4 linked regions of the Macaca fascicularis genome follow. The protein of the gene in region 4 purifies or fractionates together with the protein of the main gene of each other region. This does not show direct contact. Links are inferred from orthologs where the notes say so. Each region holds a gene or a part of one and is shown on either strand. Other genes may lie near its edges. The genes, in order: COPA, ARCN1, NUDCD1 and COPG1.

Region 1 (4,085 bases), on a different chromosome or scaffold from region 4:
CATTGACAGTGACACTAAAAGAGAGAAAACTTGGTCAAAGGAAAGGTGTTTGACCTTAGATTTGCCAAATTCTGGTTGCACAGGTGATCACACTTCTGCTTGTATATCCTGTATGTATATTACTAACCAGTTAATACAAAGGTGCTGGGCTAAGAAAACTTTCTGAGACATTTTTCCAAGAGTGTGAATAGAATTGAGAGAAACCTTATGACATACACTGGTCAGTTAATTTAACATCAGTAGGTCATTTGTGTGCCCACAGTGTGGGGCAGCTGTAGTTTCTCCTTTGAGGATCTTTAAAAACAATGTGAACTAGGGGAAGGCACAGTCATAGTTATATACAGACATTTGCATTTTAGGGCGTGACCAACTAAAAAGCCATGTATCAGTAAATAAACGCGTATAAGCAAACAGTCAAGTATATTATAAATGCCAAAAGTTCCTTGAATCGTTACTTCACGGTTTGGACAGTTAAGAGTACCCATATCCTACCTTATTCTTGCTTTACTGATTAAAAAAACAAAAACAAAAACAAAACCTGAGGCAAGGCAGAGGGACACAGACTTTGGGTGTAACCAATAGAGGAAGAAATAAGAAATCTACCTTTTAAGCGCCGCACAGCACCCACAGAACAAGATTGCTTTCGTCTCAAAAAGTCTAAACGCGGGGAAGAAAGCTAACTTTCACACCTGTTTCTTTCGACTGTGGGGTGGGTGGCTGGGGTTGTGGGAAAAACGAGGCATCTGGACAAAGTGGGAGAGGGTCGAGTTCGAAGTCCAGGAAGAGGCCTAGAGAAGGGAGTGAAGCGACACGACATGCTGCGGGGGAGAAGGGACCTTTAGGTCCAGGCAAAGGGGGAACTTCTGTCGTGGGAACGAAAGAGAAAGAGGATTTACAGGGTGGGGGGACAGAGGGGCAGCAGGAACCAGAAGGGAGACAGTGGCGCTCGCGGCTGGGCCGATCCGGAGAGTTCCCTTTAGAGAACGGAGCTCACGGGTGGGGAGGCCTCACCTGCTAGTAGGACGCAGAAAGACAGAAGACGAAGGAGACCCCGACTTCCCGGGTCAGCCCCAGAGCCACCCCCTGCCGTGGCCATCTTGCCTCTCTGCTGAGCGGAAGTCCCCGTTCGGCTCCTGCCGGGTAGCGGCCTCTCTAGGCTACCACTGACACCATCTCTGTGGCCCGGAGCCCAACAGACCGGAAGTTCGTGTTTCCAGGAGCTTCCGGAAACCGCGGCAGAGGGTAGCTGACGTGGAGGCGTCCGAAGGGCAGCAGGGTGTGTCGGGGCTCGGATTAAAACATCGGAGTCGGAGACCTGAGAGATGCTAACCAAATTCGAGACCAAGAGCGCGCGGGTCAAAGGTAGTGGAGAAAAAAAAGGGGAACATGGAGGTTGGATGTCAAGAGCGGCGCAGACACCGGGGAAGAGAAAATGGGTAGACGTGCTGGCCGAAGTGGGCCCACTAGACGGACCCAGAGGAAGACGGAGGGTGGGAGAGAGGTTAGGCCTGGCTAGCGGTTCTCCAGTCCCCTCTTTGGTGTGTCCTTGGGCTTCGATTTACCTATAAAGTGGCTCCCACACTGTAGGTGATTCCTTAGACCACCTCCCTATTCTTTCTTCTCCCTTTCTCTCTTTGCTGTGCTCCCAACTTGTATTGTTCTGCTCCAAAGGCCCTGTGACCTGTTGACTTTTTGATTGTGTTATATGGAGTGGCCCTGGGGCTTGAGTCTCGATCTCTGTTACTTGCACCCGAGTCAGTAGCTTTTTTGGAGACGTGTAGTGGCTACCTCACTTAAGGAGGCCTTGGCTGCAGCATCTCAACATCAGTACCTTCATTCGGCTTTATTCACTACCCGGAAGTAGTACTTTGAGGCTTATAACCCCAATAAAGTCTCAACTTGATAGGGTTGCCAGATAAAATGCAGGACACCCAGTTAAATTTGAATTTCAGGTAAACAATGAATAGTTTTTTTAGTCTGTCCTTGCTTACCAGAAGTTCAAATATATCTGGGCATCTCGTATTTTTATTTGCTAAGTATGGCGACTCTAGAGCTCGAGTGTGGGTCGTTGGGGGTGGTGGGCAAATACTGAGATCTCAGTATTAGCCTCAGAATGTTAAAATGTGAAAGGCAGAGAGAAGTAAGGTCTCCAGAGACCTGGAAAAAATAGTATCTAGAGTATGTAGTAAGATGCAGCGTAACAAAATGGTTAGTCTTTGAAAGTGGTTGGTCTTTGAAGTCAGATGGGCTTGCTTTGGAATCCTGAGACATCCACTAACAAGCTGTATGACTTGGGTGACTTAAGGTCTCTAAGTGCTATTTCCTCATCTGTAAAATAGTCTTTTATAGAAAGAATTAAAATGAGAAAGTATGGAATGTATTTATTGCAGCACCTGGTGTAGACTCAGTAGTGCAAAAAGTGGAGGCTGCTCTCAATGTGTGAATATATTCTGAGCAGTTTCTAAGTCTCTTGGGAAACTTGACCTTGAAAGGTGGGTACCATTAAGAATTTCTGAGACCTGTGTAGGTGAAATGGGTCTTCATAATCTTTCAGTTTTCTTTTCTGCTCCTAATTTCTTGCTGGGCAGTAGAGAAGGAAAAACAAAGATGTTGTAATAATTGAGGGCGAACATCCATTGTTGAGTGTACTTATATATCATAATGGAAAAAAAAAAAGAGAACCTAATGGAAAAATAGACAATTTAGAAGAAAAATTGTAAATGTTCAATAAATAATTAAAACAGTTCCACCTCACTAGTAATGAAAGAAATGCAAAAAAAAAAAAAAAAAAAAAAGTGAAGTTACTTTCTTGGGGGGAGGGTCTTAGATTTATAAAACAAAACAACAAATAGCTGATAACATCCTGTGTGCAAAATGGGCACCTCCATAAACTTCATGAGACTGTATATTGATAAAGTGTTTTTACATTTAAATATATGTACTAAAATGTTAAGTGCACATATTCTATTCCTGAGCAATCTCACTTACAGGTCTTTAGCCTAGAGCAGTAATAATGCAAATAGGCTAGATTATGTGTAGAAGTATCTTCAGTAGGCTCTTCTGATAGCCAAAAATTGGGGGACAAAGGTAAATGCCTGTTAGAATAATGTAAAAGTTTGCAGAACAACATCATAATGTGATCCCCACTTTCATAAAATAGTAAGGCCTATGTCTATGTGTAACTGCATTACAAATCTGAAAGGGTACACTCCAAACTGTTAGTAGTTGTTACCTCTGGGGACTTCCATTTCCAGTCTTGATAGAATAACAAACAAAATGTATGAAACAAAGGTTCATACATTGCTCACAGACGTTGGGTGACACGCAGTGCAGGGAAATGATTCTTGAGAGAAGGGAAATAAACAAGGTGAGTCCTATGATTGTCATAGATTACTGCCTAGAGAGTTTTCAGGCTTCAGTGAAAAGGGGAATCCCTTGTTCTTTCTGAGGAGACAAAAGTTTAGAGTGTGGGGAAGCAAAGATGCTAGATTTTGCAGGGCAAAATGCTGGAGAAGAGGGGGCTGCAGAGAGAGAGCACTAGAGGTCTGCAGGATGTCCTCTCGGGTCTTTGAGTACTGATCTGCATGTGAGAAAACTATTCAAAACCTGACAAAGAACCACTGGAAAGGAGAAGGCAGAGCAATCCCCAGAGCTCACACAGGGCTGGGACTAGTTTGTGTTCCTACTGGCCAGAATGGAAAGACTTCCTGATATTATAGAGCTTCAAATAGAGACCTCAGATGGGCTATTGCTTTAATAATGGTTCCAGATTAAGCCTAGAATGAAGGCTGCTGTAGCCCCCCTGTAATAGAACCTAAAAGCAAGCCTTGAAAGGATCAACTGATTCCAAGTAACTTAATTGCATCCTAGAGCAAAGCCCAACAATATTTAAAGGAATATAACAAACATCTAGTACCAAACATAAAATTCATGATGTCTGGCATCCAGTAAAAAATCATCAAGTGCGTCGAATGAATAAATGAGCCTAGGATTAACCTTGCTGTTTCTTTTTCTTATCAGAATTGACAGAAGGTGACATCATGGGGCTTAGTTAGCTCATTGTATCATTTTCTATTTTTTTCAGG
Region 2 (4,048 bases), on a different chromosome or scaffold from region 4:
TGGAGGTGGGAGGATCGCTTGAGGCTAGGAGTTTCAGGCCACAGTGCACTGTGATAGTGCCTGTGAATAGCCACTGCCCTCCAGCCTGGGCAACATAGTGAGACCCTGTCTCTTAAAAATATAAGTAAATCAAAAGATGCCTTTCTTTGTACTTTACTTTATGATGAAGTCATGAGAAGGCATTTGTTTTTGCATTTGTTCACTTATTTATCTATTGGAACTTTGCAGTCTAGGACATTGTGCACTTCAATAACTAAAGCCAAAAGGAATTTATTTTTAAAAAATCAATGTTTATGTACTGATATCTGCAACTTACTTTGAAATGTATATTTTTTTAATGGAGAGAGGGATGGATGGATGGTTAGATGCATGATGAAATATAGTGAAATGTTAGTTACAGAATCTAGCTGGTGGTTACATGGGTATTCACTACAAAGTCCTTTCAACTTTTCCAGATGTTTGAAAATTTCATAATGAAATGTTGAGCTAAAATAAATTGCTAGAAGTTTTGATACAACTTTCAGATCAATATTTCACCCTATCTGGACATTTCTACTGTCCAGGGATATGTTTGTAAAGGAGCAGGACCCAAAAACATTACACAGAAATAACACCAATGTCTTAAGACTCTACAGAGCAGAATGTACTGAGATAAATTATTCTCCAGAGTACACAAATCTGTGGGTATCTGGATCATGCTAAGTCCCAAATAATTCAGAAATATGTGACACAACTCTATGTATACGTACACATGTCAAAATAGCATGCAAAAGTTATATTTTATATATATCATGTAGGGCTTTACCATCCCTCAGTTATCAATGAATTAAAAATACTAAATTCCAATAACCTTTTAACAAATAAGATTTTTATAAAGATTATCTATATCTGGTTTACATAATACAAGACCTTAACTTTACCATTAAAATAAAAATATGCGGCCGGGCGCGGTGGCTCAAGCCTGTAATCCCAGCACTTTGGGAGGCCGAGACGGGTGGATCACGAGGTCAGGAGATCGAGACCATCCTGGCGAACACGGTGAAACCCCGTCTCTACTAAAAAATACAAAAAACTAGCCGGGCGAGATGGCGGGCGCCTGTAGTCCCAGTTACTTGGTAGGCTGAGGCAGGAGAATGGCGTAAACCCGGGAGGCGGAGCTTGCAGTGAGCTGAGATCCGGCCACTGCACTCCAGCCCGGGCGACAGAGCGAGACTCCGCCTCAAAAAAAAAATAAATAAATAAAAAATAAAAAAAAAATAAAAATAAAAATATGCTCTAAAATGCACTATTAATTCCAGGGTGTAAACAGGAACTGAGTTTCAAAATCACTAACCAAATACAGGACCTCCTGGAGAAACTGAAAATACAAGTTTCTGTAAATTTTACGTCCAACACAAAAATTTTAGGAGGCAAACCTGTTTGATGCAATTTATATACCTGAGGCTGAGAAAAGCTGTTCAGTGGCTTAAAGCTCAAGCATGAGTTCCCCCCATTATCCAAGTTCTTATCTACAGGGTTGTCAATAGAACTGATTAGGATTGGCACCAAATTACATTCTGTCATCTCTCAGGTACACTGGACGATGTTTTAAATCAAGTTATCTATTGACAAAAAAATAAAAAAGAACAGAATAGAATATCCTTCAAAAGATTAAAGGACATAAGGTGCACTGAAAAATAAACTACTAGCTTTTTTGAAACCAAAGAATGTCTACTACTTTATGAATATCTACAAATCACAGCGATAAAGGAAGATTGAGTGATGTCAGCAGTTCTAATTTCCTCCATCCTCAACCACATTAACCTTTCTCATCCTTGTAACAGATGAGTATACAAACATAACGCATGTGAAGGCAAGTAACTGGTCTCAGAGGATAACTCACCCCTCTTACTCCTCCTCCTGTGAGACATCTGACTACGACATGCCACATACACATTTTACTTCATCTGAACAATAAGTTGCTTGAAGGCAAACCCTGTGTTCTCTGGAACTTGCTCACATTTTCCCAGTGGTCTACACAGTGTATGTACCCTGAGTCACACTAACAAATGGACACAAGTGAGTTCTACGGAAGTAGTGGAAGGTTTCAGGGACACTTGGGTCCTATAAATTAATGTTAGAAGTTACTCCTTTCCGCTCTGTGTCTCCATTTCTCCCTTCTGAACAAACAAAAGAAAAATTTCTGGACACCAGTGGATTTGCATTTCGAGTTATCAACGGCCTAGCAAATACCGGGGGTGGGAGACAAGCTGGTTAACAAGAAGGACCAGAACCTCCGGAGACAGGCCCAGCTTGCTGAGCCTAAGCGCCAGGGAACCGGCAGGACAGCATCAGTTCCGAGGTCCGCAGCCTGGGACCCGCACCACCACCACGAAGTTTTCGCAGGCAAAAACGCAGGGCCGTCTCAGGGGCAGGTCCCAGCAGACGAGGGAGTCCAGCTGGTTGGGGGGTGGTGGGGAAGCGGGCACGACGACAGATGGACTGAAGTCAGCTCCGTCGGATCTCCAGGAGACCGGGCACAGGAGGCCACATTGCTCCCAGAGCCCCGAGCAAAGCACCCGGCCCTAGACCCTCAGGGCGGGGCTCCTCCGGCCCCGGCCCCAGGCCCGCCGACAGGGAGAGACTGTGAGGTTCGGACCCCAGGAGTTCGGGTCCTGGCTCGGATCTTACCATGGTGAGGGCGGTGGTGGGGCGCGCCCGCTCTCCGGCTCCACTGGGGATAGGGGGAGGGTCTGGGGAAGGGGAGCACGGGCCGCTCTGGATCTGCTGCCCGCTTGACAGGAGCCGCTGCCGCTTCGCCTCTTGCCAAGATGGCGGCCCCGAGCCACGTCTTCAACCGGAAGCGGCGGAGGTCAAAGGGCGGGGCGGGGCGGGGCCTGCGGGCTGGGGAAATTGAGGGTACCCTGCTCGGGTTAAGACTGTGCCCAGGAGGTGTAGGGAGCGTTCACCCCCCGACTGTGGAACCTTATATCTCTGCCCTTTCACTGTCATCGCCTTCATTTATTTTGCGTCACATCTTACAGTTTATTAAGCCGCTGGCACAGCCACTATTATTTAATAAATATACAAGATAACCCGTGTGCATAAAGGACTAGTATCCGGAATATATATAAATAAAAAATTTTTTTTTTTTTTTGAGATGGAGTCTCACTCTGTCGCCCACTCTGTCGCAATAGGGCGATGTCGGCTCACTGCAACCTCCGCTTCCCACGTTCAAGGGGTTCTTCTGCCTCAGCCTCCCGAGTAGCTGGAATTACAGGCACGGGCCACTACGTTCGGCTGTTTTTTGTAGTTTTAGTGGAGAAGGGGTTTTGCCATGTCGGCCAGGCTGGTCTCGAGCTCCTGACCCCAAGTGATCCACCCGCCTCAGCCTCCCAAAGTGCTGGGATTACAGGCGTGAGCCCCCGCGCCCAGCCTAAGAACTCTTATAACTCAGCAATAAGAAGACAAATACAGTATTCCTGTCTAAAAATGGGCTTCATCTGCAAAATGGAGAGAGTAGAAAACAAAAAATTAAAATGAGCAAAAGATCTGAATAGATATGTGTCCAAAGAAGATATGTAAATGGCTAATATGCACATTAAGAAATGTTGAATATCCTTAGGGAAATGGAAATCAGACCCATGGTGAGATACCACTTCACACCCACTAGGATGGCTATCATAATAATTGTTGGTGAGGATGAATGTGAAATAGTGCAGCCACGTTGGAAAAGAGTTTGGCAGTTCCTCAAAAAGTTAAACAAAATTGCCATATGACTGAGCAATTCTACTCATAGGTACATACCCAGGAGAACTGAATATATGTCAACACAAAAATGTGTACCCTAATGTTCATAGCAACTTTATTCATAGCAGCCAGAAAGTGGAGACAATCCAAACAAATCCATTCATCAATAGATGTGGCATATATATGGAATGGAATATTATTTAATCACAAAATAGAATAAGGTACTGACATGCTACAATATGGATGAACCTTGAAAATATTATGTGAAAAAAGACAGATACAATGGGGCACTCATATATGATTCAATTAATATGGAAGA
Region 3 (2,727 bases), on a different chromosome or scaffold from region 4:
CTCTCATTTGTTGCCTGAAATCCTAAAATAGGATCATTGGTTTCCAGGCTTGCTACTTGCTGCTTAGCAACCTGTCCTACTTGCCTGCCTTCCTTTCTGTTGTAAAGTACAGTGGACATGGGAGCAGGCTGACGATAGATGAATACTCGACGAAGGCACTCACAAAGGGCTGCATAGGAGTAATTTGGAGCACAGGCAAAAAATTTTTTGTCTCTCTTTGATGCTTGGACATAGCCTGCCAAGAATATGAGACAAACAAAAGAAAAACTATATATTAAACAGAAGGGGAAAAATCATGATTTAACATTTAATATTTTGCAATGTTTATTACAAATTAAAATGCCCAAGTAAAATATATACCGTAAGGTATATAATTCTGAATCATTAATGATTAGCCACAATCAGTCTCTCCCAACTGGTACAAAAATACAACTTTAATTCTTAAGGAACAAAACAGATACGGCTTTCTCTCTTCAAGAAAAGCATAATATAGTTTCATTTAATTTCCATGAATAATTCGAACACTAAAATTCTAAAATCTAAAACACTAACTACATGACAAATATCTTTAAGTGCCAATTTAATATTTAGCTTCATGAATTACAGATATGGCATCACAGAATCATTTTTTTCCTCTTAAATAAATTGGAAAATGTGTATAGGATACCATCATAAAGTTATTTTAGGTTTCTGTTCATAATGTATCCCTGAATGTACTAGTATTTGTGATGCATTCTCTTATTATCCCTAAAATGTTAGTGATATTTTTACACAACAATACCAACACTGTAACCGGATTTTGTTGTACTTTCAGCCCCCAGAAGTAGAATGTTGACTACTATAACCTAAAAAATAATTTCAAGTCTCTAAACTGAAAAAATCCTTAATCTTATCTTAATTCATGTACACATTTAAAAAGTATCTTTTTGGATTAAAACAACATTTATGTTCCGAAATATAAATTATGATTTTCAGATTGTGACATGGTTAGTACATGTTAGGTATTTAAGATCATGTAAAATAAAAATATACACCGGGCGCAGTGGCTCACGCCTGTAATTCCAGCACTTTGGGAGGCCGAGGTGGGCGGATCATGAGGTCAGGAGATCAAGACCATCCTGGCTAACATGGTGAAACCCTGTCTCTACTAAAAATACAAAAAATAATTAGCCGGGCGTGGTGGCACGCACCTCTAGTCCCAGCTACTCGGGAGGATGAGGCAGGAGAATGGCGTGAACCCGGCGGCGAAGCTTGCAGTGAGCGCAGATCGCGCCACTGCACTCCAGCCTGGGCGACAGAGCAAGACTCCGTCTCAAAAAAAAAAAAAAAAACAAAAACACTAATTAAAATTGAGATCTCATCAAACAATGAATAAGCAAAAAAAAAAAAACACTAATTAAAATTGAGATCTCATCAAACAATGAATAAGCAAAGGAGTTACTGAGCACATGCAGATCAATATTGTTTTTAATTAAGCAGGGTTTGAAGTGGGAAAAGTGAAGATTTAGATACCTATTTAAATAGTTTAAAGTTGCTATCCAGGCTAACCTTGACAGAATAATGTATATATTTCATGAGTACATATCTAATGTAACGTTGATTTAACTTAGAATTAAGCATAGACTTCCTCTATAATAGGGGATCTGGGGATACAAATAGAAGATCTGAGCATCTAAAGATAATATGATAGAGCTTTCTTCTGACTAAAGTATAGATAATTAAAAAATAGCATTATAGTAGGGAGGCTAAAAATTATATGGTTAAATTAGTCAACCAAACTTTGTACTTCAGGTCATAAAAATCCATTTGGTGTCTGAACCAGTTTAGCAGCCTGTATTATTAACTACAAGGGATAATTAATAAATTTCTTCTACTATTAGGGTTGTGCATATATAGCCATCAAAATACATACTTTCACTTCTTGCTGCCAGTTTAAAATAACCTTTCAATAAAGCAATAACTGTGGCTAATTCACATAAAAAATTTCTGTCACACAATACTAATGCATTTTGACAAAAAAATCAATGATTGCATACATCTACAATTAAGTAGTTTAAACATTTTCAAGCCCTAATTTTAAAGCTGATTTTTTTCCTTTTATCCTACCAAATAAATTTAATTTCTGCTTATCACCGCTTTCCATAAGTGTTTTCATTATAATGGCTCTCTTTTGTCTTAATTTTGACAAAAGATGTCTCCTAATGTGCATTATACCTTAGGGGAATTCTATGATGTTTTTGAAGATTACTCTGAAGAAACTTGAATACAAGTTCCATGTAGGGTATTATCAAGCTCCTTGTTCAGACTCCAGTATTATATGGTTTACAGAATTAGAAAAAGCAAATGACTTATTAGAATAATTCAAATGGTTAGATAACCACTTTCATTTCTATTGTCTTGATCTTCTGTATAAGCATAAAAACAGATTAGTCTAAATGTTCCAACAGTGCTAACACTCATCCGCTAGTACAAGAAAACAAATCATAGCACAAATCAATCTAAATGTAATCAGGACAGCTCAAATTAAAAAGAAAAAAAAAGGAATGAACTTTAAATGAATGATGACTATAGTTCTGATTTCATGGAAAATGTCAAAGAGTTTGCTTTATACCTAAAGCATTGAAAGTTGCGATGTGCTCCCACATATCATCTTGTTTGCTGGAGTGTGGTTGCCAGAGTAGGGCATCAACATCATGGCGTAAACAGAAGCAGGGCATTTCTTTAGGA
Region 4 (3,568 bases):
TGGGTGGGCTCAAACAGACCCAGCTCTCTCAAGGAGCTCACTTGGTCTTAAAGCAGCTCCTGCCTCAGGGTCATTTCCAGCTTAAGGAAGGTCCATCCATCCTCAACTGTGACTCTAGGATGACACAATGGTGAATGTCAGCTGTATTCCACCATGACTGTCCCTCTAGTCAGGAGGAGTTCTAACAATCCCCATCCACAGGCTGAGCGTAGTGGTCTGCACTCAGAAGGCCCTGAGCCACTGCCCCAAGGTCAGACCCCAGAAGGATCCTGTACTTAGTTCCATCGAGCTAAGATAGGAGAATTTAGAAGGGCTATTCCAGTGCATGAAAGGACTGCCCAGCACGGCAAACAGGTCAAATGTATCCAGAAAGCATTTGACAAAAGGAATCAAAATGTCTTAAAATCATGCTTACCCTTTGACCCAATTATTCTCCTTCTAGGAATCTATCCTAAAGAAATAATCTAAAATGCAGATAAAAATTTGTATCTAAAGGGATATTTAGTGCAGCATTATAAATAGTGAAAATATGGAAACCCAAATGCCCAACATTCAAGGAGTGAAAGGTCAATCAAGTTTTGACATAGTATATAACAGTATTTTAAATCCACTAAAAAAATTGTGTTTATGAAGTATTTGTAATGACACTGGAAAATACACTATGGTTTTAAAATAGCAAGGTCTACATTATAAGAATGATTCCAATTATACCACTGCCCCCCAAAAGTAACTCTGAAGATTATGAGTAATGTTTTCCTGTTGTTCATACTTTTGTTTTGTATTTTGTTTTTGTATTTCCCAAGTTTTCTTTTTACACATGAACATGTATTTCCATAAGTTTAAAAAGTTATTTTAGGCCAGGCGCAGTGGCTCACGCCTGTAATCCCAACACTTTGGGAGGCCAAGGTAGGTGTATCACCTGAGGCGAGGAGTTCGAAACCAGCCTAGCCAACATGGTGAAACCCTGTCTCTACTAAAAATACAAAAAATTAGGCAGGCATGGTGGCGGGCGCCTGTAATACCAGCTACTCGGGAGGCTGAGGCAAAAGAATCACTTGGGGCCGGGCGCGGTGGCTCAAGCCTGTAATCCCAGCACTTTGGGAGGCCGAGACGGGTGGATCACAAGGTCAGGAGATCGAGACCATCCTGGCTAACACAGTGAAACCCCGTCACTACTAAAAAATACAAAAAACTAGCCGGGCGAGCTGGCGGGCGCCTGTGGTCCCAGCTACTCGGGAGGCTGAGGCAGGAGAATGGCGTGAACCCGGGAGGCGGAGCTTGCAGTGAGCTGAGATCAGGCCACTGCACTCCAGCCTGGGCGACAGAGCGAGACTCCGTCTCAAAAAAAAAAAAAAAAAAAAAAAAAAGAATCACTTGGACTTGGGAGGCAGAGGTTGCAGTGAGCCGAGATCGTGCCATTGCACTCCAGCCTGGGTAACAAGAGAGAAACTTCATCTCAAAAAATAAAATAATAAAATAAAATTTTAAAGAGCTAAAAAGTCAAAAACAGCTCCAGTCTGTCTGTCAGTTTCTGAAGGGAGTTGCTTTGCAGCCTCAGCACAAAACTGAGCTTCCTGACACCAGGCTCTTACCACATACTCATCCTCATAGCCTTCGTCATCGGTCTCCCCAGTGGTGGGATCACAGTCCTTGACAGTGAACTTCATCATGCAGCTGAATGTGCAGGCCACTGTGGGGAAGAGAGACTGGGTAGTTAGGAAGTCCCCAGACTGCAGGGGACGGGCTCCTCCTGCAGGGAACAAGCAGGCAGGGGTCACAGCCTGCTTTCTAGGCCCCTGCTATGTTATTAGTAGCAGCAACAAGCCATACAATCCTACAAAGCTGGACAGAGGGCGCCACCTTGTAGGACAGGAAAGTCAAGTCATGAGTTCTAGTGAGATCCTGTCTCTTTAAAAAAATTTTTTAAAGAAGAGCATTTGGGACTCAGCTATTCTTCTTGGGACTGAAATCAAGGAGCTGAAGCTCTAATAAAAGGCAAACAACTAGTGCCCAGTCGCCCACCTCCTGATCCCATGAGCTCCCATAAGGATAGGGTGGTATCTGGAGAGGGTCTCACCAGCTGTGGGGTCTTCTTTGGGCAGTGCCACCAGTGTGTAGCAGGTCCCAGGCTGGTTGTAGGGCAGGCTCCGGGCAGGCACATAACAGAGCACCTCATAGGCCTCAGTGGGCTCCATCTGCACTGTGACATTCTCCAAGGTCTGGTCATTGAGTGTGTTTGTGCAGTCAAACTGAACAGGGAAGAGAGGGGAGCTTAAACATTGCTCTAGGTCTGAGCCATGCTGCAGAGGAAGAGCCAGGAGGTCCCACCTCTTTCCTGTTGACCAAGGTGATTCCCATCCCAGTCCCCCTGCCCCAGGCTCCCTGTCTCCATGCTGATAATCAGGAGCCATGGAGGCCCTGGGTCAACAGATATGTGAGACAGGCATGTTGGGGACAGATTCTGTCATCAAGTTGGGCTCCCAACCAACACAGTGTGGGGACCCATGTCCCTACAGGACCTGCCAGACCTGGGACAACTCCCTGGGCGCATGCCCCAGCAGGGCCTCAGCCCACCTTGCTCACCTGAAAAACCATGTGGTTGGTGAAGGTGTGTTTGGTGCAGCGGATGACATACTCCGTCTCTGACTCAGTGAGGGCCACGGGCTCAGGCGAGGACTTGAAGAGGGGCCCAAGTCCCCGGAACTCTGGCACCGCCGCCAACTGCTCTGAAATCCACAGGCCACATTCACTCAGCTTCTAAATCCCCAGACCAACTTGTGATGGTTTCTAATAAATTCCCATGACCATTCGCAAGGTGTTCCACCTACCTTAGATGGATAAATATGTTTACCCACCTGGCTACTCATTATTTCCTGAATATATCCATGCATTTTCTCATCTCCCTGACTTTGCTCATGTGATACAACCCCCAACAAATACTCTCCCCATCTCTGTACCATGAAAGACCTCAGAAGCAAAACACTGATATGAGACCACAAAATCCTAGACCTAATTGGAGATTCCCCCGGTTTTAGAAGCTTAGCAAGGATTTCCACCCCCTAGCTCAGCAAGGATTCTTAAAAGAAGGTGACAATTAGGAAAATAAGATCAATTAGGAAAATAAGATCGATACTACTATAGCTACAAAATCAGACAAAGTAACAAACTGGTCCTATATATTTGTCAGTTAAGACAAATGGCCAATAAAGAGATGTTTCGGAATGAGAGCGTTGCAGAAAACCCAACTTAGAATGGTCTGTGTCTGGTTAAGACCTATGCCTACACCCTATGGCCAGGTTCAAGCACTGGATTTAAGCACAGGCCCATGGGACCCCACCCTGGCTGGTCCTGGCATTCCTTGCAGACTAAAGGGAATAACCCAAGTGAATGAGGCATCTGGTAGATGTGTGCACATGGTGTCCACCTATAATGGCTACAGCTACCACTCTTGCACCTATTCTATGGCAGGATTCCTCGCACTATGACCATGGATCACCTGTATCAGAATTACTAGGGGTTGGCGGTAGAGCTTGCTAAAAACTCAGATTCCATCCCAAATCTACTACAT

What was found.
Region 1: the proteins of COPG1 (region 4) and COPA purify together in Homo sapiens (affinity purification with mass spectrometry; 6 studies listed by BioGRID and IntAct, counting the BioPlex papers as one, with this or other methods). This does not show direct contact. The link is inferred for Macaca fascicularis from reciprocal best matches to the Homo sapiens genes COPG1 and COPA.
Region 2: the proteins of COPG1 (region 4) and ARCN1 purify together in Homo sapiens (affinity purification with mass spectrometry; 6 studies listed by BioGRID and IntAct, counting the BioPlex papers as one, with this or other methods). This does not show direct contact. The link is inferred for Macaca fascicularis from reciprocal best matches to the Homo sapiens genes COPG1 and ARCN1.
Region 3: the proteins of COPG1 (region 4) and NUDCD1 purify together in Homo sapiens (affinity purification with mass spectrometry; 3 studies listed by BioGRID and IntAct, counting the BioPlex papers as one, with this or other methods). This does not show direct contact. The link is inferred for Macaca fascicularis from reciprocal best matches to the Homo sapiens genes COPG1 and NUDCD1.

What each region holds. Positions count from the first base shown.
Region 1 is NC_088375.1:100,716,146-100,720,230, forward strand, and holds the start of COPA (coatomer subunit alpha), read left to right. Parts: upstream 1-1,237; 5' UTR 1,238-1,322; coding exon 1,323-1,362; intron 1,363-4,084; coding exon 4,085-4,085. Other genes in the region: NCSTN (nicastrin), read right to left, coding at 1,012-1,096. UniProt on the Homo sapiens protein: The coatomer is a cytosolic protein complex that binds to dilysine motifs and reversibly associates with Golgi non-clathrin-coated vesicles, which further mediate biosynthetic protein transport from the ER, via the Golgi up to the trans Golgi network.
Region 2 is NC_088388.1:117,439,555-117,443,602, reverse strand, and holds the start of ARCN1 (coatomer subunit delta), read right to left. Parts: upstream 2,832-4,048; 5' UTR 2,674-2,831; coding exon 2,671-2,673; intron 1-2,670. UniProt on the Homo sapiens protein: Component of the coatomer, a cytosolic protein complex that binds to dilysine motifs and reversibly associates with Golgi non-clathrin-coated vesicles, which further mediate biosynthetic protein transport from the ER, via the Golgi up to the trans Golgi network.
Region 3 is NC_088382.1:118,796,211-118,798,937, forward strand, and holds part of NUDCD1 (nudC domain-containing protein 1), read right to left. Parts: coding exon 2,612-2,727; intron 236-2,611; coding exon 1-235.
Region 4 is NC_088376.1:154,151,393-154,154,960, forward strand, and holds part of COPG1 (coatomer subunit gamma-1), read right to left. Parts: intron 2,727-3,568; coding exon 2,584-2,726; intron 2,250-2,583; coding exon 2,078-2,249; intron 1,691-2,077; coding exon 1,593-1,690; intron 1-1,592. UniProt on the Homo sapiens protein: The coatomer is a cytosolic protein complex that binds to dilysine motifs and reversibly associates with Golgi non-clathrin-coated vesicles, which further mediate biosynthetic protein transport from the ER, via the Golgi up to the trans Golgi network.